Regions from separate parts of the Mus musculus genome. Here all the other regions are reported to be linked to region 1. The links are microRNA targets in miRTarBase. Many come from high-throughput screens and were not tested one by one. Region 1 holds a microRNA gene; each other region holds the end of a gene's coding sequence.

Region 1 (3,241 bases):
GACCCTGTACTTTTAAGGAACAACTTTCTTGATAGCAGAATATCATAGCATAGTAGCTAATAAAGGCATGCCTGGAAATCCCAACTACTTACTCTATTGGTCGAGGCAGGAGAGCCTCAAGTTCAAGGCCAGTCTGGCCTGGGTAGTGAGACACTGTCTTTTTTGTTTTGTTTTGTTTTGGTTTTTTCGAGACAGGATTTTGTATAGCCCTGGCTGTCCTGGAACTCATTCTGTAGACCAGGCTGGCCTCGAACTCAGAAATTCACCTGCCTCTGCCTCCCAAGTGCTGGGATTAAAGTCTTGCACCACCATCAAAACAACCACCCAGTCCCTGATTCCCAACTCTCTTTCCCTTTAAGTGCTTTCAGAGTAGGAAGGTACAGTATATACCTACCAATATAACCACCTACAGGTGCTTAAGCCTTATGGCTAGCTGTGATCTGACACTGTTCATTAGTCTGTCTTCATCCTATTCAGTCCATAGTGAATAGTAAAAGTCCATGCAAAATTGTATAAGTGCTTTGAAAGTTGTGATAATACCATCATTGTTGTAATATCTTATAAAAGACTTTTTGTGAGTGTCCCAAAGTATAGCCCAGACTGTCCTGAATTTGTTGATCCCTCTGCCTCAGCCTCCAGAGTATTAGAATTATAAGTTAATGCCACTATGCCAGGGATATAAAAGATTTTTAAATGAAACTTCCCAAGAGTCCGAGGGATTACAGTGCTTTCTTCCTTCCTTCCTTTTTTTTTTTAATCTCAGGGAAATTTTCAGGTTATAAATAAAGTGCAGGTATATGCTAGATTAGTTTGGACTACTAATTGCTTGAATTATAGCAATAAATAAATGTTATTATATTTATTATATAAATTTATATTTATATAAATAATATAATATAATATAATATAATATAATATATATTATAGCGATAAATAAATGTTATTATAAAGCATCTATATAAATATTGGTTTGTTAGCACTTGTTCACATCCAGAAATGAGCATGTATTTGTGGTGGAAGCAGAATTTCAGCTACATCATAGATGAAAGTGCCACTACTGATTTCTTGTCAAGAAAATGGACCAAACTGAAATAGGATTGGAAAGTAACTGAAATAATCTCAGAACTTGATTTACCCAAGAATTAATAAACAGCTTGGTTTCCAAATGTCCCAAGGTCATTTGAAATGTGAAAGGAATAATGTTTGGAATTTGCTTCTATGTGGTGGTGCATGCCTTTAATCCCGACACTCGGGAGGCAGAGGCAGGCGGATTTCTGAGTTGGAGGCCAGCCTGGTCTACAAAGTGAGTTCTAGGACAGCCAGGATTATACAGAGAAACCCTGTCTCAGAAAAAAAAAAAAATGGAGTTTGCTTCTAAATATCTAGTGAAGGTGAGCAATTACCCAGCTTCAACAATTATCAGCATATGATTGTTCACTTAAAGATAGTCGATTAAGCTTTCTCTTCCACTTCTCTATATGCTTGAAATTTATTTTCACCATTGGAAATGAGTGTTCGTTTTGTTTTTATTTTAAAAATGTGAAAGAACGTTAACTCAGCATGTGGAAGCAAACATGAAACTGGCAAGTTCTTGAACATAATTCCTTGAGTTCAACACTTAAAATGGAACTTCTAAGCACATTAATGAAGTAAAATAACCAAAAAAAAAATTACCCCTTGTTAATTTTATAACTGATAAGAGTTGGAAATGTGACAAATATTTATTTATTTATTTATTTATTTATTTAATATTTTGGTTTTTTTCAAAACAGGGTTTCTCTGTATAGCCTGGCTGTCCTGGAACTCACTCTGTAGACCAGGCTGGCCTCGAACTCAGAAATCCGCCTGCCTCTGCCTCCCAAGTGCTGGAATTAAAGGCGTGTGCCACCACTGCCTGGCCGTGACAGGTATTTTTTAAAAATTACTTTTAGCCGGGTGTGGTGGCACACGCCTTTAATCCCAGCACTTGGGAAGCAGAGGCAGGTGGATTTCTGAGTTCTAGGCCAGCCTGGTCTACAGAGTGAGTTCCAGGACAGCCAGGGCTATACAGAGAAACCCTGTCTCAAAAAACAAAAAAACAAACAAAATTACTTTTAGTAGGTTTATTTTGTTTTTTGAGATGGCTTTTTTTTTCCCTTACCCTATATTGTGAAGACTCATTGTGTACTCCAAGCTGGCCTTGAATCCATGATTCTTCTGCTGTAGCTTTTGGAGTATTGGTATTACAGGACCATGCCAGACAAACTTACCTTCATTGTTTGTTTGTTTGTTTGTTTGGTAAACTTGTCAAAATATGCCTCTCCTCCTACTGGGCAGTCATACTCAATAATTTAGATGAAACTGATTTATAGGAATTTTTGTACCAAGGATCTATTACTGATCCAGGAATTCAATTCTTCAATTACATTTGTTTTATTTAATTATCTATTTATTTAAGATTTATTTATTTATTATATATAAGTACACTGTTGCTGTCTTCAGACACTCCAGAAGAGGGTGTCAGATTTCATTACAGATGGTTGTGAGCCACCATGTGGCTTTTTATAAATGTGTGCTTTTACTTTTTATTTTTATTTATTTATTTTTAAAGACTTATTTATTTTATGTGTATGAGTGCACTGTTTCTGTCTTCAGACACACCAGAAGAGGGCATCAGATCCCATTACAGATGGTTGTGAGCCACCATGTGGTTGTTGGGAATTGAACTCAGGACTTCTGGAAAGAGCTGTCAGTGTTCTTAACTGCTGAGCCATATCATTCCAGCCCATATCATTTTGTTTTAGATCAAAATATTTGGGTTCAAATTAAAGGTCAAACCTAAGGATAAGTAAAGCTTTGAAAAGAAAAGGAAAAAAAGTACCCCTTTGACATTATCTCCCTAGCAGTGTGATTTTAAGCATGTACTACCATGCTTAGCTTTAAAATTTTTAGTGTATTAAAACTAGAAGGGTTTTGGGAAATAATAGCTCATTAGGTAAGGACCCCTGCCACTAAGCCTGATGTTCAATATAGCACCCACATTGTGGAAGGAGAGAGCCAACTTGTGAAAGTTGTTTTCTGACCCCTGCACTCTTGCTGTGGCACATGTGTACCTACATAAATAGATGCAAAATTGGATAAAATCAGGCTATCTCTCCCACCTACTTGTTTGTTAAATAAGGACCTGAAATCATAGGGCATTAAGTAATTTAGCTTTGGTTAAGAAATTACAAACATTAAAATAGTTATGATATAGCAATTT
Region 2 (3,241 bases), not on the chromosome of region 1:
ACCCCACCCCTGTCCCCACCTAGTACTACCCCTAACCTGTAGCCCCAGCTACATTCCTGCACTGATAAGGGGTTCTGCCTGTGGCCTGGATCCACGCAGGTCCTCACCCTGTCCAGCCTCAACCTCTGTATGTGCGTGTGTGCATGTGGATGTCAGGGCTGGCTGCTGAGTGTCCTCTTCTGTTACCCTGCACTGCCTTGCTGTTTTGAGATGGGGGTCCCACTGAATTGGACACTTGCCTTTTCTGCTAGGCTGGTTGGCCAGCAAGCTCTCAGGATCTTCCTGTCTCTGTCACCCCCAATTTGGGTTCCAGGCATGCGCAGCTGTGCCTGCCTTTGTTCTTGGGGATTGGACCCCAGCTTCACCTGTGTCCAAAGCAAGAGCTCTTAGCCACTGAACCATTTTCTCAGGACCCTCACCTTTGTTCTTGACCAACCGAGTACCCTGGGTTTTGTCTATCTCCCAGAGGGATGGGTCACGCCCATAATCAATCCAGCACTAGGAATGCAGGAGGACTGTTGAGGCATTTATTGTCATGACGGAAAGTGGATGCAGGGAGGAATGTCTGGGAAGGAAAGCTTACTGGCTACATCCTCCAGGCCTTTAGGAACCTTGTTAAAAATGGAGATCTGTCTTGTGCCTACTTGACCACAGGTCACAGCCTTTACGAGTGGAGGGGCTTGGGCGTTCCCCTTACATGACTGATGGTCACAAATCTATGGGGGTGGGGCTGCTGCTAGTGACAGGCCTGGTGCCCTGGAGCAGGTAAACCTCCTTAGGTCCCTTCAGGCTCTCCTCGGCTTCTAGCCTTAGCTCAGCCGGGGACCATGGTACCTTTCAAGGTCCCATGCTTTATGGAGCAAGAGTGTGGGGTTAAGAGCAGGAGCAGCCCTACTGGAAGGTATGCATGCAGTAGGGATGGCTTGTGTGTGGCTGTGTACATGGAGCCCCCTCTCTGTCCTTTCTTGGTCTGTGTACATCTACCCAGTCCCTGACACAGGTGGAGTTAGGGCAGAGTTGTAAACAAGTGCTTGTGAAGAGTGGCTGGACCCTCAGGTGAGGTGGCACAGCCTCCTTATACCCCCTTCTTCTAGGGAACTCAAAGGTCAACAAGTCCTTTCTGTGGTGGCCTTGTGCCAGCGGCACAGCAGAGCTTCGGGAGAGGACAGCCTTGCACATCACCTGTCACATACAGGCCCTTACATGCACATACACAGCTCCTGACATCTGCAGACAGATCTGCACATCCAGGCACACCTGAGCCCACAATACAGTCACACCTGCATGCATGCAGACACACCTGTTTATACACAGGAAGCTCTACACACATGCAAGCACACGTGCTTACACACACACATGGACACACCTGAACATATAGGCACACCTGTATACAGCACACATACTGGGTAAACATACCTGCAAGCACACACATATGTGCACACAATTTTTTTCCTTTTTTAAAACTGAGACAGGATTTCTCTGGGTAGCCCTGGCTGTTCTGGAACTTGCTCTACAGACCAAGCTGGCCTCAAGCTCAGATCTGCCTGCCTCTGCCCAGCCAGTGCTGGGACTGAGGTGTGTGCCACCACTGCCTGACATGCACCAGTTACATGTTTTGTTTTTGAGGAGGGGAGGGGTTTGGTTGGATTTTTTTGAGGTTTTGTTTTGTTTTTTGAGCTGAGGACCAAACCCAGGGCCTTGCACTTGCTAGGCAAGAGCTGTAACCCTGAGCTAAATCCCCAATCTCCACGCCTAATTACCAATAAAAACCCTGACTCTAGTTGATGTAAAAACAAAATAGCATATCAGCTGATAGTTAGAATCAAGAGGGTAAATTTTTTAATAATTTATTTATTATATATAAGTACATTGTAGCTGTCTTCAGACACACCAGAAGAGGGCATCAGATCTCAATACAGATGGTTGTGAGCCACCATGTGGTTTCTGGGGTTTGAACTCAGGACCTCTACTTTCCAGCCCCACCCCACCCCCCACCCTGGGTAAATTTTTAAAGGGGACACAGGCATCTAAGAATGTTCTAGTTTGACCGGGCAGTGGTGGCACACGCCTTTAATCCCAGCACTTGGGAGGCAGAAGCAGGTGAATTTCTGAGTTTGAGGCCAGCCTGGTCTACAAAGTGAGTTCCAGGACAGCCAGGACTACACAGAGAAACCCTGTCTCAAAAAACAAAACAAAAACAAAACAAACAAACAAAGAATGTGCTTGTTTGTTTCTTTTGAAGCAGGGTGGTCCTAGGAATTGAACCCAGGGCCGCCCACACTAAGCGTACACGACACCACTGAGCTACAGTCTCACCCCACCACCCGAGCTCCCTTCCACATAAGGTCACTGAATCCTCATTAAGACAGAGACAAAAGGAGTGGCCAAAAAGACACCCAAAGAGCCAAACCCAAAGAGGCAAAAAGAACCTGTTATCCTCGAGGCCCATAGAGGTCAGAATCCAAGTCCTTTTAGCATCCAGAAAGAGACACAGTGAGTGGTAGATTTGTATTTGTGGTGTCATGTCTCTATAGCGATCAAAACACCAGGAGGCGCTGCCCCTGACACAAAGGCCTAAGAATTAGGGTTACTACCCAGGCCCTAGGTTGGTCTGCATTTGGCCACAGCGGTCGGTAAGAGGGATATGTGTAAGAGGAAGGTATCCTCGGGTCAGGAGTGATCATCATTTAGGGATGTAAACTAGAGAGACACCACTACCCCCCAAAGCCTAAATTCAGAAAGGCTCAACAAAAGAAAGCAAACCTCTGGCTTTGCCCAAGAGTAAAGCTGAATTTAGGAAACAGGACCAGAATGGATAGGGGCTAAGCTACTTGATAGCCACAGAACCTGGGTTGGGGAGCCCGGAATTGTGCTAAGAATATCAAAGAAGATGCGAGGATTCGGCTTCTGTCGGCATTGATCAAATGCTACCACGCATTGGAGGCCTCGGTGATCCAGGAACAAAAACAGAGTCAGATGCCACAGGTGGTACGAATGTTCACCAAGAGGCAGAGTCAGGTGGGGGGACACAGAGTGACAGCCTAGGCTCTAGGTCCCGGGTCCTGCTCGGGCTCCATACCAGGGACCCCTCGTATGTCCGGCAGCAAGCGACAGCCAGCCACGATATCCAGGCGCTCGGCGAGCGCGCAGAGGTCCCCGCGCGCCAGGCGCACGCTGTGGGCGGCTGCCAGCCCGGTGGCCTGAGCAGCCGCCAGCCTCCCCGCCAGGGCGGCCACATCGC
Region 3 (3,241 bases), not on the chromosome of region 1:
CGCCATAGCTCCTGTCTCTAGCTGCATATGTAGCAGAAGATGGCCTACTCTGCCATCATTGGGAAGAGAGGTCCCTTGGTTTTGCAAACTTTATATGCCCCAGTACAGGGGAACGCCAGGGCCAAGAAATGGGAGTGGGTGGGTAGGGGAGCGGGGAGCAGGGCGCGGGGGGAGGGTATAGGGGACTTTCTAGATAGCATTTGAAATGCAAATGAAGAAAATACCTAATAAAAAATTGGGGAAAATGCTGGGCGTGGTGGCGCACGCCTTTAATCCCAGCACTCGGGAGGTAGAGGCAGGCAGATTTCTGAGTTCGAGGCCAGCCTGGTCTACAGAGTGAGTTCCAGGACAGCCAGGGCTACACAGAGAAACCCTGTCTCAAAAAAGAATTGGGAAAAAAATGTAAAGTTTTGTACATCAAAAAATATTGCCAACTCTATGCTGGGTAGCCTTCCTAGTCATCAAAACTCTTTCTCATGTATGAATCTGATGAGTTCCAACAACCAGCCTCACAAGACACATGCATGGGTGAAACAGTGGTGTAGCTGGTACAGGAGTAACCAACTGCTTTCTGATTCGATTGAGGATTCACTCCACAAGAGAAACCCCATGCCTGGTACTACAAATCTGGCCAAGAACCCATCCTGCGGAGCTCAAAAGCCCTACAGAAAAGTCACTATTAGTTTGCTAAATTGACATAGTATCAAACTGTCTTCTAAATGATTCTCGAAACTCATAGATTAGGTCAGTTTTCAACACTGACCACAGACTTTTTCTTTTTACAGTGAACAGTGGCCAATATACAGACTTACAATTTGTAAATGCAGAAACAGGTGTCCATGTAATATTCAGTCTCAAATGAGACATCGACAGCACATCCTTGCCCCCCAAAGCTCAAGGGAACATTAGAGAAGATGGAGAAATGGGAAAGAAAAATGTAAAGATCCAGTGCTCTGGGAGATCTGCTATGAAACAACATCTTATGAACACAGCAGGAACTTGCATTCATAAACTCACAGAAGCAGTGGTTGCCTGCACAAGCTCAAGACACTCAGCATTACAGGATGAATGAGAGAAGGACTACCCACAACTGAGGAACTGTTGGCAGTTGATCAATGCTGGCAGAGGAAGACTCCATCTTCTTTGGGTGTGGCATCGAGTAGGTTGACTGTGTTCGGGTAGATAGCTTCACACCAATTCACACTTTGAGTAGCACTGATTTTTGTTCTCAGTGGGTTATAAAGAAAAGAAGAGGACAAGAAATTAGGATAGGGACATGTCAGGAGATCCAAGAGCAGTGATACAGGGATATAGGGTAGACGTGATCAAAACACACTGTATACATGTAGGAAATTATCAAAGAATAAATAATTTTAAAGAAATGCTACTCAGGAAGAAAATGAAGATGACCCATGGAATAGAAGAGAATGTTTTGAAATGAGCCACTTGATAGGTATCTAACAATTATATAGTTTATACAAGGCAAAAATAAATAACCTAATTTAATTGGCAAAAAACTTGGTCTTTTCTACAAAGATATACAAGTGATTAATAAGCATACTGTATGATTCCATCTCTATACAATCCCAGAATAGGATAGATAATCCATTAGAACAGAAAGTAGCCTGTTTTTTGTTTATATTTAGTGGAGAGACAGGAAAGAAAAATTAGAAGTGGCAGCTAATTGATGTAGGAGGTCTTGTTTTGTTTTCTGAGATTTTATTATTTTATTTATTCTTTGTGTGTGTGTGTGTGTGTGTGTGTGTGTGTGTGTGTACTCTTCATGACATGTATGTGGGCAACTTGTGGGAGTTGGTTTTCTCCCTTCTCCGTGTGGGTTCTGGAGATCAATCTCAGATCATGAGGCTTGACTGCAAGCACCTTTACCCCTGTACCATCTCCCCGGCCACCTCACTGGATGTATTGAAGATCAAGTCCCAGAGTTTTCTGCAGGCAATCCAGGCAACTTTACAACTCTGAAAAGTAGAAATTAAGCAGAAGCTGAGGATTTTACCAAATGAAAGAGCAGGCAATACACAAACCAGTGTGCTTATCGGGGTCTACCACAAGGAGTCATGCAACTGATAGGGATAGGTATTGGGAAACGGTTTGGGGGTAGTAATCAAATACATGCCTCAGCCATGAGACTGAGAGCATGGTGGCTCTTGCTTTTAATCTTAGAACTTGAGAGCCAGAGGCAGATGGTTCTCCATGAGTTCAAAGCCAGCCTGATCTACTATAGCAAATTTCACGCCAGTCAGGGCTAGCTGTTTCATATACATATATGAATGCCTTCTCCACCAAGAGAGACTGTACCCTCAAACTGTGAACCAAAGTAAACATTTCATCCCTTAAAAAATACATCTGGGTTCTGGAGAGATGTCCCAGTGGTTAGAGTGCAAAGAAACCAAAGTTTGCTTCCCAGTTCCCACATTGGACAGCTACCTGTAATTCCAGCTCCAAAAGATCTACCACCTTCTCTGGCCTCCACCGGCACCTGAATATTCTCTCTCTCTCTCTCTCTCTCTCTCTCTCTCTCTCACACACACACACACACACACACACACACACACACACAAACACACACACACCAAAGTAAAAGTAGAATGCCTCTGCTTAGAAACTTTGTAACATGGGAACTGTACACCCCAAAGGATGAGGGGCCTACTCTAAGTGGGGACTGCTAACACAGAGAGATCAGAGGCAGGGATAGATGATTGGCAGTAGGGTCCTCACCTGCATCTCAAAATGGCTCTTTTGCCTCCACCACTGACAATTCATCGGTTGTGTCCTTGGATCTTACAGAGCTCTCTGAAGTTGGCAACTTCTTTAAGAAGGAAAGTTTGTGCTTGTATATCCTCCAAAACCTCCCTAAACCCAAAAGCGCAAGCTCCAAGAAAATAAATAAGAAACAGGCCCCGCTGATCCCAAACATGATGTTGAGGAAGATGGTCTTCTCAGAGGGGTGAGACTGGAAACAGGTTGTGCTGCCAATACAAGGATCCTCACGACATATAAAAGTGCTGGACATCTTGAAACCATACAGATTGTACTGAACACCTAGAGCTGCTCCCTCAAGGGCCAGCCGTACCCCAAGGTGTGCCACATAGGCCCAGAGAAGCTTGAGGCTTTTAGCCCCTGAGACATCCTTGCTATGATCCCCTTTGCTAATCTGGGTCTCTTGCTCCTTGTTTTCCTTTCCTGGTACCTCCCAGTATCCAATCACATGATACAGAGTGAA
Region 4 (3,241 bases), not on the chromosome of region 1:
CACTATAGGCACACCAGAAAGAAAAAGACAGAGGAAAAGAGGAAGGAGAGTAAGCCATAGAGGTGCCAAGGGCCAGTCATTATGAACTGAGGGGCACACCCTCATATCATTGTTACACCTAACTGCTGAGCACCGGTTTCCAGTTGAGTCACATTAAATGTGTTCCTGTTTGCATACACGATTTGAAGGGAAGACCAGAGTGTTATAAACCACTAAAAAAAAAAGTGAAAACAAAGGTCACTTAAAGCCTGTGTGCTCATTTGAGACACCATTAACCCAACTGAACTGTAATTAGAAAATATACCTTCAATCTAATGAGTTAGTTTTAAAAGGAATTCTAAACAAGTCCAATCAGACACACCTTTTACACAAGTAACGTAGAAGATAGTATTATTTCTCAATTATAGGTAGATAAAATCAGAGATGTTAGTGCAGATTATTAAAGAGATTGTTAAAAAATTGAGGCCTAAAGTTGAAAGAGACCCTACCCACAACTTTTCATGAAACATAACCTAAGAAAAGCCTAAATGTCACTAGGAATGTAAGACTGAGTTATAAACCCCTAAAAGGGAGAGATGCCTGGTGGAAATGGTGAGTCTCTTCTTTCTTTAAGGACGGGTTCCTGAGCAAGCCCACCACAGCAAATAGAATAATCTGTAATACCAACTACATAGCTCACAACCTTATATCCCATTACAGAATACAATAATCCAACTGCTTATGTTCAAGTTTCTATTTTTGGCCATGTTAATACTCATTTATTAGCAGTGCAGGGTTGAAATAACTCTCTGCTACTAGGTGCTTTATTTATTCATTTATTTATTTTAAAGCAGATCTAAGAATGTTCTTTAAAGTGTCTTAAAAACCAGAGTAAAAATATTTCTTAAATAACCCTTTGTCCTATGAACACCTATAAGAAAATGACACTGTCTGAGACAAACATGTCACTTAAAAAACACAAAGGCAGAATACTGAGGAAGCAAATTTAGCTTAAGTGCAGAAAAATATACAGAAATTACTCCACTAAATTTTTAATAGCATAATAGGACCCCTAATCTTTTCTTCTATTGGCGAGTGGGACCTGAATGTGGAGGATCAAACCTGATCTTGATGCTTTGCTAAGGTATCTAGACTGTTATCAATGGCACAGAGGCACCCTAAATAAAATACAGTTCATTCATCCCATTGAGGCTCAGGCTCTTGCTTTAAAAAGAAGCATAAACAGAAAGGAGGGGTCAGACCAACTAAGAAGCAAACAACTCCACAGTATGGAAGCAGCAGGAGGAGGTTGTGAGATTATGTCATTATCATGTTACTATGGAGGAAAGATTTAAATATCGAAAGGAAACAACTGTGGCATGGTTCATGGGCCCTCATTTCAATTATTTGTATTCATAAAGGATAAATCTCAATCTTTTATATCTGAGCTTCACACTAACTCAAACTTTATTTGCTTAAAACTTTTAACATTGTCAGCCTGTGAAGAAATGCACTGTGAGGGGTAAATTCATCATCGAAATTCAAAGAAATCTCTTTTTAATTTTGGATCATTGGTGAAACTACCCAAAAACAGGAAGTATTTTAAAAACTTGAATCAATGAAAACATGAATAAAATATGAAATTAAGACTGATTCTGGTGGCCTACTTAAAAAAAAAAAAAGAAAAAAGACCGTTATCAAGACAAAAGAAGCACTGGCTCTGAATCTCTTTGAGAATAACAAATCCACTAAGTTCCAGGAACACCATTCCCTCCACACCCAAGGAAATAATGTGAGTGCTGAGTTAATCCAGAATTCATGTTCACCCCAACTGCCTCACTAGTACTAATTTAGAGTCATGATTCTTTTTGACACTTACAGTTCAGACATATAAACTCATGTTAAGTGACAACTGGTCTGTCAAAAGTACAGGAAAAGAAAGAACAAATATTTAATTAAAACCTTTCTAGTTTTTTGTTTTTGATTATTGTTCAAGTTGCTGTTCTCTAGCAAGAAGCAGTTTCCATAGCGTCCACCTGAAATCTTATTGCTTTGCAGCCATGGCATTCCTTCCCTCCATTGACAACTCGAAAATCAAACAGTCACTCCAGTGATTGATTGACATGGCTTTCGTGGGGGGAGGGGATTGGCAAAGAAAAGACTGAGACAAAATGGCAACTTAAACACGTAAGCATACAATGGTTTTAAGAGCCAGGCGGTGGTGGTGCACCCCTTTAATCCCAGAGCTCGGGAGGCAGAGGCAGGCAGATTTCTGAGTTCGAGGCCAGCCTGGTCTACAAAGTGAGTTCCAGGACAGCCAGGGCTACACAGAGAAACCCTATCTTGAAAAAAAAAAAAAACCAAAAAAACCCAACAACAACAAAAACCAAACAAACAAACAAAAAAAAAACCCAAACAAACAAAAAACCCAATGGTTTTAAGAGGGAAAGAGATATATGATAGAGAGAAAAACATTATTCTAGACAAATGAAATAGCACTGAAAGCCCATGAGTCAAGCCACAGCCCAAACCGTGTCCTACAGAGGTTTCCTTTGTTTTTAATAAAACCTCTCCCTAAACATCACTTTTAATCTTCCCCAGATGAGGCTTCATCCTCGGACCCTTCGTCTCCGGACTTCTTTTCTGGAGGGCTTTCTGCTTCCTCATCCTCTTCTTTGGGAGAAGGAGTTTTTTCCTTTGATTTCTTCGAAGCTGTGGGGCGACCCACTTTCGCTTTGCCTTTCACTGGACTTGGCGTCACTGAAATATGGAAAGTAACAATTTGGGGAACAGAAAAAAATGCCTTTTAAAAAAATCATTTACAAAACCAAAAGTCTGTAAGTATAAAAATTTATCCCATCTCACTAAGAAGGAAACACACGAAAAGGCGCATTACTCCTAGTGAGGATTAGGTCACATTCTGAGCAGAAACTACAACTATCAAACAGGTTTGGAAGCTCTAAAATATGGCGAGATGAGTAAAACTTTTTAACAAGAAACATATTAATTATATTTGCCAGAATGAAACTCTAAGCAAATCTAGACTTCTGATTTAATAAATTAGCTTGAACCAGGAAAATACCTGGCAAAAGCTTTGAAGACCCAGGAGATAAATCTTTACTCTCAAAGGTAGTTTGGTTTCTGCTATCAGTATCCTGACAGAACAGAAGATGAGAACGGAAAGCCTTCCCCAGCTGCTAGGACTACTGTCCCCAGAAGCAGCCAAGGCTTCCTGAATCTCTATTAGGGTACATTGTGTCTG
Region 5 (3,241 bases), not on the chromosome of region 1:
TTATCTTGTGCTCCTGAGTGCCTGATTATTTACTTATCTCACAGATAAGAGCGTAGTTCTTTTTATTTTATGACTTACCATACATATTTAATCTCAAATTAGGCTCCTCGATTCTTCTGATTTCTTTCCAATGGAAATAAGCTTTTAAGTTGCTATTTGTATTTAAATTTAGATAAAAATGGATGCTACTGTGGTGAATTTGACACTGAGCACAGAGGACAACTCTGCAGGACAACTTATAGTCTGTGCTTTAGGTGTGTTCATGGAACATTTGTGTGTGTGTTAACTTTAGAGCAGTGTGCATTATTTTTTGAGTATGTTGAAGACCCTGCGAGACTGTGGCTGGAGGTGAGTCACTGTGTTTATTGTTGTGTTGTAGATATGAGCAAGACAGTGGACATGACAGTGGAAGCGAGGACGCCTGTTTTGATTCTTCACAGCCCTTTACATTAGTTACTATAGGCATGAAGAAATTTTTTATACCCAAGTCACCTACTTCCTCTAATGAACCAGAAAACAGAGTTCTCCCCATGCCAACGAGTATAGGGATTTTCCTTGACTGTGATAAAGGCAAAGTGAGCTTCTATGATATGGACCACATGAAATGCCTGTATGAGCGCCAGGTGGACTGTTCGCATACAATGTATCCGGCCTTTGCCTTGATGGGCAGCGGAGGAATTCAGCTTGAGGAAGCCATCACAGCAAAGTATCTGGAATATGAAGAGGATGTGTAGCTTGGACACCCCACGTGACTGATGAGGATAAGAACCGTGAACAAAGCCATGCCTTGATGTTAATCTAATTACATATCATTTACGTCTCTGTCACCACACCTGTTTGTACTGTGTGATTCTTTGTTTTGTCTTGTCCTGCTGTGACACACAGGGTCTTGCTGTGTAGTCCAGGCGGGCCTCAAACTCTGTTCTGTTATAGCCTCTGGAGGGCTAGGATTATAGGTGGGCACCACCATCCCCAGCTAGTGTATGGTTCTTAAAACTCAGAAGGACTTCACAACCTTGTCTCTTCCACGTCATTGTCCTACCTATTACAAATGGTGGGAGTGGAGGCTTTCTGTCTTAACTGGTCTAGAATAGATAACTTTACAATGGAAGTCCTTCTCTTTGGCCACAGGGACTCTAATTGATGTAAGTCTAATTGGTTATTCATGTCCCTTTGTTTGGGGGCTGGGGTGGGATACAAAGTATTTATTGTGGTTCTTTGAGCTTGTTTTTTTTTTTTTCCTTTTCATTTTGTATCATGTTCATGTCCAAAGAGAAGATATTTTTGAATGCTTACTGATAGAAACTAGTACTAAGCCATGTGTCTTGCATTTGATGTTAATAGAAAAATAAATTTATAGATAGGTAAAATGACAAAGGCCATAAAATGGTAGTATATTTAAGTAGAAAGTTGTGTATTTTAAAGTGTGTAACTACTGAGAATATTCATCGCCTGGCAAATGAATACTGCTTTTTTCCCTGTAGACCACAGACTGTATTAGTAAGGACATCTCTAACAGTGTCCTTGTTGTAATGCCCATTGTCTGGCACATGTAACAAGCATCGTTTCATATAAAAACACAGGGTTCTTGAACCCGTGCAACTTTTCACTACAATATAATTATTTCCAGGAAATGTTATCTTCAAATTTTCTTACTTTAGAAAATATTCATATTTATAGCAAAGAATTATTTTTCAGAATTACTAGGGAAGATGGACTGATAGTGAACACGTGTCTCTTTGTGTCTTGTGAATTTTATGGGTTTGGTACTTATGTTGTACATCAGGGTTTTATGGTTTTTGTTTACAAATCTGAGAAGTTCACTGCCCATTTTCAGCAGCATTGAAATACCAGACATGTTACATGTTACTACTGTCCAGTTGGATGGCATTATTTGTGGGCTCATTGTGTGGTCATAAGCACTTGTAGTGTGAATCAGTAAAGTACAAAATTCCTAGGAAATAATATGGAAAATCACAAGGATGTGTCTAGTCAGTTTTTATATCTTTTCTACATTGAATGTTAATTTCTGCAAAATTACCTTCTGATTATTTGAATTGCCTTTTTAAAAGTTAAAATGTCCAGACACTAAGACATGTTTTCAGCACTGATCATGTATGGAATGTTAACATTTTAGTAGAATAACCAAAGCTGTTTATTTTATTTATTTTTTCGAGGCAGGGTTTCTCTGTGTAGTCCTGGCTGTCCTGGAACTCACTCTGTAGACCAGGCTGGCCTTGAACTCAGAAATCTGCCTGCCTCTGCCTCCCAAGTGCTGGGATTAAAGGTGTGTGCCACCACTGCCCGGCTCTATTTGATTATTTTTAATGGAAGCCTGTTAGGCCAATCACACTGCGTCTGACGCAGCACTGACTGACACACACACACACCCCTAAGCTCGTGTAGAAAGGTGTGGAGGATTTGTGTTTAGTGATTGTCCTTCCTCTCCCATTTATATGTAGCACTTTATGACATAGGAAACAGAGAGAATGTGCAGTGTTACCTGGGTCATTGTGCAATAAAGCTGCTAGTGTCACCCGTGTGTGGGTTAGTGTGATACTCAATACTCATGTGAGCACATGTCCTGTAGACGTTTTAAAATATAAAGCTTTAACAGGAGTCAGAGAAGGAAGCTGTTCAAACACTGTATCACTCTATAGAAATTGCTTAGTGGAATTTCAATTTTTAATAAAAAATAAATAAATAAAGGGAAGCCAAGTGTAGTTATTCAAGTCTGCACTACAGGGATTTTTTACTCTGCTTTGTGGAAAACCGAAACAGAACACTTACTATAAGATGCTTTGTGGCACATGTTAATTTTTTTAATTAAAAAAGATTTATTCTTAATTACATGTATGCGAATGTGCATGTACACATGGATGTGAGCGCCCATGGAGGCCAGAAGTAGCGGATGCCCTGGCGCCAGAGTTAGAGGTGATTGTGATCTACCCAGCACTCGTGGAAAGGAACTGGAGACTCCTGGACCAGCAGTACTCACTCTTATTTTTATTTATTTTTTTAAAGATTTATTGATTTATTACATGTAAGTACACTGTAGCTGTCTTCAGACACTCCAGAAGAGGGAGTCAGATCTTATTACAGGTGGTTGTGAGCCACCATGTGGTTGCTGGGATTTGAACTCAGGACCTTCAGAAGAGCAGTCAGTGCTCTTAACTGCTGAGCCATCTCTCCAGTCCACAGTACTCTTAACCTCATATGTTAGTTTATTATTTTGAACATT
Region 6 (3,241 bases), not on the chromosome of region 1:
TTAAAAAAAAAAGTACATCGCATTAAAAAGAGTAGATGGTTGGCACTAGATTTACTTGGGGATATTGGGTTGTAATCGCGGGTGGATAAGGCAAGAAATCCAGCACCTCGGTTAAGTACTTGCTACTCAGTACTAACTTTTGTCTTTACTTGGTGTTGCATGCATGGCATTTAGTGGATCCAAACAACGGCCTTTCCTTTACTCTCCCACAGATACAAGCTGTCGCTACTGAAGCCCTCTACAAAGGCACTAGCTTTATCCTGTAAAGTGTCTATCCGGACAGATAACCGAGGCTTCCTCTCCTTACAGTACATGATTAGAAATGAAGATGGGCAGATATGTTTTGTGGAATATTACTGCTGCCCTGATGAAGAAGTTCCTGAGTCTTGAATAATTCACTGACTATTTCTGTCTTTTTTTTTTTTTCTTTCACGAGACAGGGTTTCTCTGTAGCCCTGGCTGTCCTGGAACTCACTTTGTAGACCAGGCTGGCCTCGAACTCAGAAATTCACCTGCCTCTGCCTCCCGAGTGCTGGGATTAAAGGCATGCGCCACCACGACCGGCGAATATTTGTGTCTTTATAGTTGGCGTTCTCACTCTAACTCTCTAACCTTGATGATTTCATTTTGGATTGTATAGAGAGATGCATGGAGAAAATAGGAGCAAGGTCAGTCCCATTCTGTAAATCTGTAAATAGTTTTTATTTTGTCAATAAATTTTTCATATAGCCATAAATTATCCGACTTACTGTACTGTCCTGTGTCTTTTGTTCTTTTCTTTTTTAAAACTGTGTTCATGCCGGGCATGGTGGCGCACACCTTTAATCCCAGCACTTGGGAGGCAGAGGCAGGCGGATTTCTGAGTTGGAGACCAGCCTGGTCTACAGAGTGAGTTCCAGGACAGCCAGGGCAACACAGAGAAACCCTGTCTCGAAAAACCAAAACAAACAAAAAAAAAAACAAAAAAAAAAACCCTGTGTTCATTGTGTGTGTGTGTGTGTGTGTGTGTGTGTGTGTGTGTGTGTTTGCTTACCTTGGATGTATAGGCACCGCATGTGTGCCTGGTGCCTGCAGAGTTCAGAAGGGGCATTTGATGCTCTAGAGCTAGAGCTACAGGTGGTTACAATCCTCCATGTGGGTTCTGGGAACCAACCCCTAGTCCTCTGAGGTGACGACTGAGCCATATCTCCAGCATTCTCCTTTCCCCCTGACAACCTTCCCAACTTATGGGAATCAGTGAATCAACATGAATACATTGTGGTTTTTCCACTTAAGTAGATTTTTTGTTTTGTTTTGTTTTGTTTTGTTTTTTTCCGGTTTTTCAAGACAAGGTTTCTCTGTATAATAGCCTTGGCTGTCCTGGACTCAATTTGTAGACCAGGCTGGCATCAAACTCAAAGATCCTCTGCCTCTGTGTACTAGGATTAAAGACATGCACCACTATGCCCAGCCTAACATATCTTGAGAGTCTATACAAAGTTGGATGGAGCCATATCCGATATGTTCTTTTCTTTATATAATAGTATACATTCCAGGTACTAGATCTTTTGTTTTGTTTTGTTTTGTTTTGTTTGAGACAGGGTTTCTCTGTGTAGCTCTGGCTGTCCTGGAACTCACACTGTAGACCAGACTGGCCTCAAACTCAGAAATCCGCCTGCCTCTGCCTCCCGAGTGCTGGAATTAAAGATGTGCACAACCACTGTCTAGTCAGATACTAGATCTTAAAGCTGAGTGGCTCACTATCACACCAGTGTCAGAACTGTCTTGAGACTTGCTAGTGGGGAGAGCAATGTTTATTTTCTCAAGCTTCCTCCAGAAAATTCTGATGTTTGCCAAAGTGTGAAAAAAACAGCTGAACCACAGTTTGAGAGACTATTCTTGCTTTTGTTTTATTACATTCACCTCTCTCTCTCTCTCTCTCTCTCTCCTCTCCTCTCCTCTCTCTCCTCTCTCTCTCTCCTCTCTCCTCTCCTCTCCCTCTCTCTCTCTCTCTCTCTCTCTCTCTCTCTCTCTCGACAGGGTTTCCTGGCTGGACAGGTGACTTCACAAATGATTTGAGTTGAAGCATTCTATGGTTAATTTTATTATTGTTGACTTGGTTTTAAGAGTTTGTTTTGTTTGTTTTGAGACAGGGACTCTCTACATAGCCTTAGCTGTCCTAGAATTTACTGTGTAGACCAGGCTGGTCTCGAACTCACAGAGATCCACCTGCCTCTGACTCCTGAGTACTGGGATAAGAGGTGTACTGCCCTGGCCTTTGTTCCTTTTTGCTGTCTAACTGGCCTTCGAGGAGCCATCTTAGATCTAATGCCCTGGACCATCAGGACTCTTGGAGGACTCGCAGGAGCCTGTGCTGTCTTGCTCTCCATTGCACTTTTTCCTTCACAAGGTTGGCGTCCATATCCCCCACACAAAACAAGCCATGTTTGTATTTCCCTGGGTAGTTTTTACTAAAATAGCTTTTGTGGCAATAGATTTTTTTTTGTCATTAACAAAACATAATACTAAAATCATATGATAAGCCTTCTCAGTAGAAAAAATATGTCTAAAGTGAAATTTCTCTTTTCTATGCTAGACACTAACAGTCACTGATGGTTTGGGGCATGATACTTGGGGAAATAATGTTACTCTATTGCAAGATGTGTTTAACATTCCTAAAATTATCTCTTCCGGTCATTATGACTCCTGTCCCCAAATAAAAGTACCCAAGGCTACTGATGGTTGAAAACAGCCAGTGGAAGAATACAGGTTGAGTTTTATAAGTTTTTAGTTTTGTGTTTTTGAAGTTTATATCATTTTCTTTTTGGAAAATTTTGCTTGCCAGAAATAGGTAAACAAACAGCCTTTTTTTTTCTCTTTTTTTAAACCTTGTTTATTCCCCCATTTTATGTTTCTACCTAGAATTTATTTAACTACTCAAAATAGACTAAATAATTTCTTAAATTATACTTTTTTAAATCACAGAATTTCGGATGTAAAGTATTCCTGTAAAACATGGTTGCAGCTACCTGAAGGGGTAGGCTATGATCCTCTCAGCGGTTTGGAGTGGACTCTTTCAGAACGCGATGGAGAGCAGGAGGTGGCTCAGTGGGTAAACGTGGTCCCTGTGCAAGCTTGACGAGCTGCCTTCCGTCCTAGGACTCGGAGAGAAAGCTGGATGCAGTGCTGTGGAGCTGTTAGCCCAGCACCCCGGGGCCAGATGGGAGGTGACCAGAATCAGCACAAAGTTTGTGGTCCTGCT
Region 7 (3,241 bases), not on the chromosome of region 1:
CTGCATATGCGGCTGCAGCTGTGGGTCCCTCCATGTGTACTCTTTGGTTGGTGGTTTAGTCCCTGGGAGCTCTGGGAGTACTGGTTGGTTCATATTGTTGTTCCTCCTATAGGGCTGCAAACCCCTTCAGCTCCTTGGGTCCTTTCTCTAGTTTCTCCATTGGGGACCCTGTGCTCAGTCCAATGGTTGGCTGAGAGCATCCACCTCTGTATTTGTCAGGCACTGGTGGAGCTCCTCGGGAGACAGCTTTATCAGAAGGCTCTGATTTTGCTTAACATACATTATCATTAATATTCTGTTGGATTCCAAAATGTACTTAAAAGCTGTCTTTCTCTTTCTTCAGAACAACAACCCAAAGTGCGTGGTTGGCTTCTGGCTAGTCTTGACGGTCAAACAACAGGACTTATACCTGCAAATTATGTCAAAATTCTTGGTAAAAGAAGAGGCAGAAAAACAATAGAATCGAGTACAATGCTCAAGCAACAACAGTCTTTTACCAACCCAACATTAATTAAAGGAGTCACTACCACCAATCCTTTGGATGAACAGGAAGCTGCCTTTGAATCTGTTTTTGTTGAAACTAATAAGGTTTCCAGTGCACCTGATTCTACAGGGAAAAATGGAGACAAACAAGATCTTTGATGTGTTTCATGTTTGTGGGCAGGTGAACAATATTTTAGAGTATTTTAAAAAATCATTTCTTACAGAGAAATTAATTTGCAGTTGAATGAAAGCATTTGCTCGTGGCTGTGCCGAGTGTTCTGCTGCTAGAAGTTATGTAGTCACACGCTAGCTGCTAGTCAAGTGATCTGTCTACACTTGACTGTCTTGTGGACCACGAGGACATTTGTTTCACCTAGTTTTTAAGATTATGGAGATAGTTGTCAGCTCCATCTTATCTCAGTCCCTAGGCTTATTGGAACAGTAAATTTGATGAACAGTAGAACACACAAGCTGCCTCAGAAGGGATCATTAACGCTTCTTAAAGTTCTGAGTTAGTTGACTTGAAGTCTTCAAAAATTGAGTGATAACATCTACTTATAAGAACAGACAAAAGGCTAATTTTTTTAACCTTATAAATAAACTAAATAATAAAAATTTTCTCATCTGTATTATGTCCAGTGTTGAATTTACTTTAGGTGATGTGTTTTTACCAGCAAATAATTGATAGTATTATCTTTTATTGTATTTATAAAAGTGTGTTCTTAAGAGGTCACTGGAGCACTGTGAAGAAGATGGTTCTGACTGACAGCTTCTTAACCTCCTTACAGTGTCACAGATCTCATCCTGAGCGAGTCACAATATATAGCTAGATCTCATCCTGAGCGAGTCACAATATATGGATTTTTGTTCTTTTCCTCCAACTAAGGCAGGAGTCCTTTAAGATTATACTTAATGATATAATCAATTCTGGCAGTAATGATTTTTAATCCTGAATTTTCTGCTTCTATATAAGATAATTACTTTTGTAAATTCCAAAATCAGGTTATACATTAAATATTTGAAATATGTCTGTCGGGGTTGGGGATTTAGCTCAGTGGTAGAGCGCTTGCTTGCAAGGCCCTGGGTTCGGTCCTCAGCTCTGGAAAGAAAAACACAAAATAACAAAAGGACCAAAAAAACCCAAGGTAACTGAAATATGTCTGTCACATTGGATAGATTTCTTGTGGTTTTCACTACTGAGACTATAATTTGCTTGCTATTTCAAATACGATGACTTTTTGTTTGGTTGTTTTTTTTTGCTTAATAGTGAATTTTATGTGTTTCCCCATAGAATTGGAAGCTTTATACGCTTGCTGTGAATATACTACAGATTAGAACTGTCAGAAATAAATCACAGAATTCATTTATAGACACTACTAACAGCTGTGGGTTTTGATAAAAAGTGATTTGGGTTTTGCTTCTTTCATATAGATAGGTTTATCAAATAAATAATTCTGGAGGAGTTCATATTAAACCATGTCTAACCCAATATCTGCTCAGAACAGAAGCACTAAAGACTTCCTAGGAAGCCCTTTTTTGAAATGACAATATAATAAGTAATGTATCTTTTCATCTTAAGATAGAGAGAAGCATTTACGGTACTCATTTATCTTTTAGGCTGATTTTTCTGACATTCAGTAGTAACTTTTCAGTTGAGAAAGGGGGTTGAATAATCTACCACTGAGGCATGGCCCTGACTCTCAAAGGTTTTAACAAATATTTACTTCTGACTTGAGATGCCTGAACTTTTCTCATGTCTAAATGTTACTCCAGACATCTAGACTAAGCACTAGGAGTAAAGTAGAAATAAAATGTTGAGTCAGCACTATTTAGGTTTGGGGTGTTGTTTTGTTTTAGAAGATGAGCTTTAAAATAGGATTTGTGACTAATATTTCAGTTGTATAGGAAAGAGCTTAGACAAATAAATGATAAAACTTTCTTTTAGGGTCTTTATTGTTTGGCTGTCTATGCTAGATTATATAGTATTAACCTAATAACTACCTGTGTCCATTCTTTTTTATTTGTTTGTTTGTTTGTTTGTTTGTTTGTTTCAAGACAGGGTTTCTCTGTATAGGCCTGGCTGTCCTGGAACTCACTTTGTAGACCAGACTGGCTTCGAACTCAGAAATCTGCCTCCCAAGTGCTGGGATTAAAGGCATGCGCCACCACCGCTCGGCCTGTGTCCATTCTTTATTAAAGTCTTAGAAAAACAGTTGTAGGACTAGAGTGGCAGAAAGTTTTGTGGTTTAGAGTAAATGAATAGATTGGTCACAGCTCCAATATAATTTTAGGGACTTCCTGAAGTAGCATTACATCACAGGAAACTACACTTTCAATTAAATAATTCATAAGCTACAGTAAGAAACTAGATATCAGAAGCTTTAATTGTATTTTGTCAGCTTGGGAAGAAAAAGATTAAAGGACTATAAATGCATTTTCATGTTCTACATCTTACTCAAGTCTTAGCCAATTATTCATTTACCTGAGTGCAGCGGCTCTTTATTTTATGCTGTCTTTACTGGAAAAAGAAATGAAATACAGTTAAATTTGTATTTTTAATAGGTTGTGAAAATACTTTACTGGAGAATTAAAAATATTTGAAACTTAATTTCTTTTTTTAAGATTATAGCTGCAACAGAACCATAACATATACTCCACACAAAGCACAGTACAATGTGAATGCATGCATGTTCCTCTCTCTGCTAATAACAAGAAGAGTGTTTCTTTTAGTGTTCACATGTACTGTTAGTTAAAACGC

The links. The annotated mature microRNA mmu-miR-706 reads AGAGAAACCCUGUCUCAAAAAA and lies in region 1 at 2,049-2,070, shown strand. An mRNA with a match to its seed (bases 2 to 7 or 8) in the 3' UTR can be bound and repressed. Matches are read on the target gene's strand: a 7mer-m8 pairs with bases 2 to 8, a 7mer-A1 pairs with bases 2 to 7 and ends in A, and an 8mer does both.
Region 2: miRTarBase lists Bloc1s3 as a target of mmu-miR-706. Seed matches in the 3' UTR shown: 7mer-m8 at 2,167-2,173.
Region 3: miRTarBase lists Gjc3 as a target of mmu-miR-706. Seed matches in the 3' UTR shown: 7mer-m8 at 600-606 and 7mer-m8 at 366-372.
Region 4: miRTarBase lists Nucks1 as a target of mmu-miR-706. Seed matches in the 3' UTR shown: 7mer-m8 at 2,310-2,316.
Region 5: miRTarBase lists Trim36 as a target of mmu-miR-706. Seed matches in the 3' UTR shown: 7mer-m8 at 2,183-2,189.
Region 6: miRTarBase lists Rad1 as a target of mmu-miR-706. Seed matches in the 3' UTR shown: 7mer-m8 at 442-448.
Region 7: miRTarBase lists Pex13 as a target of mmu-miR-706. Seed matches in the 3' UTR shown: 7mer-A1 at 1,100-1,106, 7mer-A1 at 2,231-2,237 and 7mer-m8 at 2,544-2,550.

The regions. Positions count from the first base shown.
Region 1 is chr6:120,033,119-120,036,359 of GRCm38, reverse strand. It overlaps Mir706 (microRNA 706), which reads left to right and starts at 2,049; the gene lies at 2,049-2,132. The region is part of intron 1 of Wnk1 (WNK lysine deficient protein kinase 1); the gene reads left to right.
Region 2 is chr7:19,503,973-19,507,213 of GRCm38, forward strand. Bloc1s3 (biogenesis of lysosomal organelles complex-1, subunit 3) reads right to left here. Exons shown (of 2, transcript NM_177692.4): 2 at 1,832-3,241. The coding sequence ends at 3,042. Among named protein-coding and RNA genes, the nearest start is that of Bloc1s3, 2.8 kb to the right of the region's middle.
Region 3 is chr5:137,954,469-137,957,709 of GRCm38, forward strand. It overlaps Gjc3 (gap junction protein, gamma 3), which reads right to left. Exons shown (of 3, transcript NM_080450.5): 2 at 2,737-3,241; 3 at 1-1,976. The coding sequence ends at 2,744. Among named protein-coding and RNA genes, the nearest start is that of Gjc3, 7.0 kb to the right of the region's middle.
Region 4 is chr1:131,930,532-131,933,772 of GRCm38, reverse strand. Nucks1 (nuclear casein kinase and cyclin-dependent kinase substrate 1) reads right to left here. Exons shown (of 7, transcript NM_175294.3): 7 at 1-2,739. The coding sequence ends at 2,567. Among named protein-coding and RNA genes, the nearest start is that of Nucks1, 22 kb to the right of the region's middle.
Region 5 is chr18:46,164,906-46,168,146 of GRCm38, reverse strand. It overlaps Trim36 (tripartite motif-containing 36), which reads left to right. Exons shown (of 10, transcript NM_001170855.1): 10 at 380-2,847. The coding sequence ends at 734. Among named protein-coding and RNA genes, the nearest start is that of Gm52355, 24 kb to the right of the region's middle.
Region 6 is chr15:10,492,942-10,496,182 of GRCm38, forward strand. Rad1 (RAD1 checkpoint DNA exonuclease) reads left to right here. Exons shown (of 6, transcript NM_011232.3): 6 at 213-754. The coding sequence ends at 390. Among named protein-coding and RNA genes, the nearest start is that of Rad1, 8.5 kb to the left of the region's middle.
Region 7 is chr11:23,646,693-23,649,933 of GRCm38, reverse strand. It overlaps Pex13 (peroxisomal biogenesis factor 13), which reads left to right. Exons shown (of 4, transcript NM_023651.5): 4 at 344-2,651. The coding sequence ends at 642. Among named protein-coding and RNA genes, the nearest start is that of 0610010F05Rik, 15 kb to the right of the region's middle.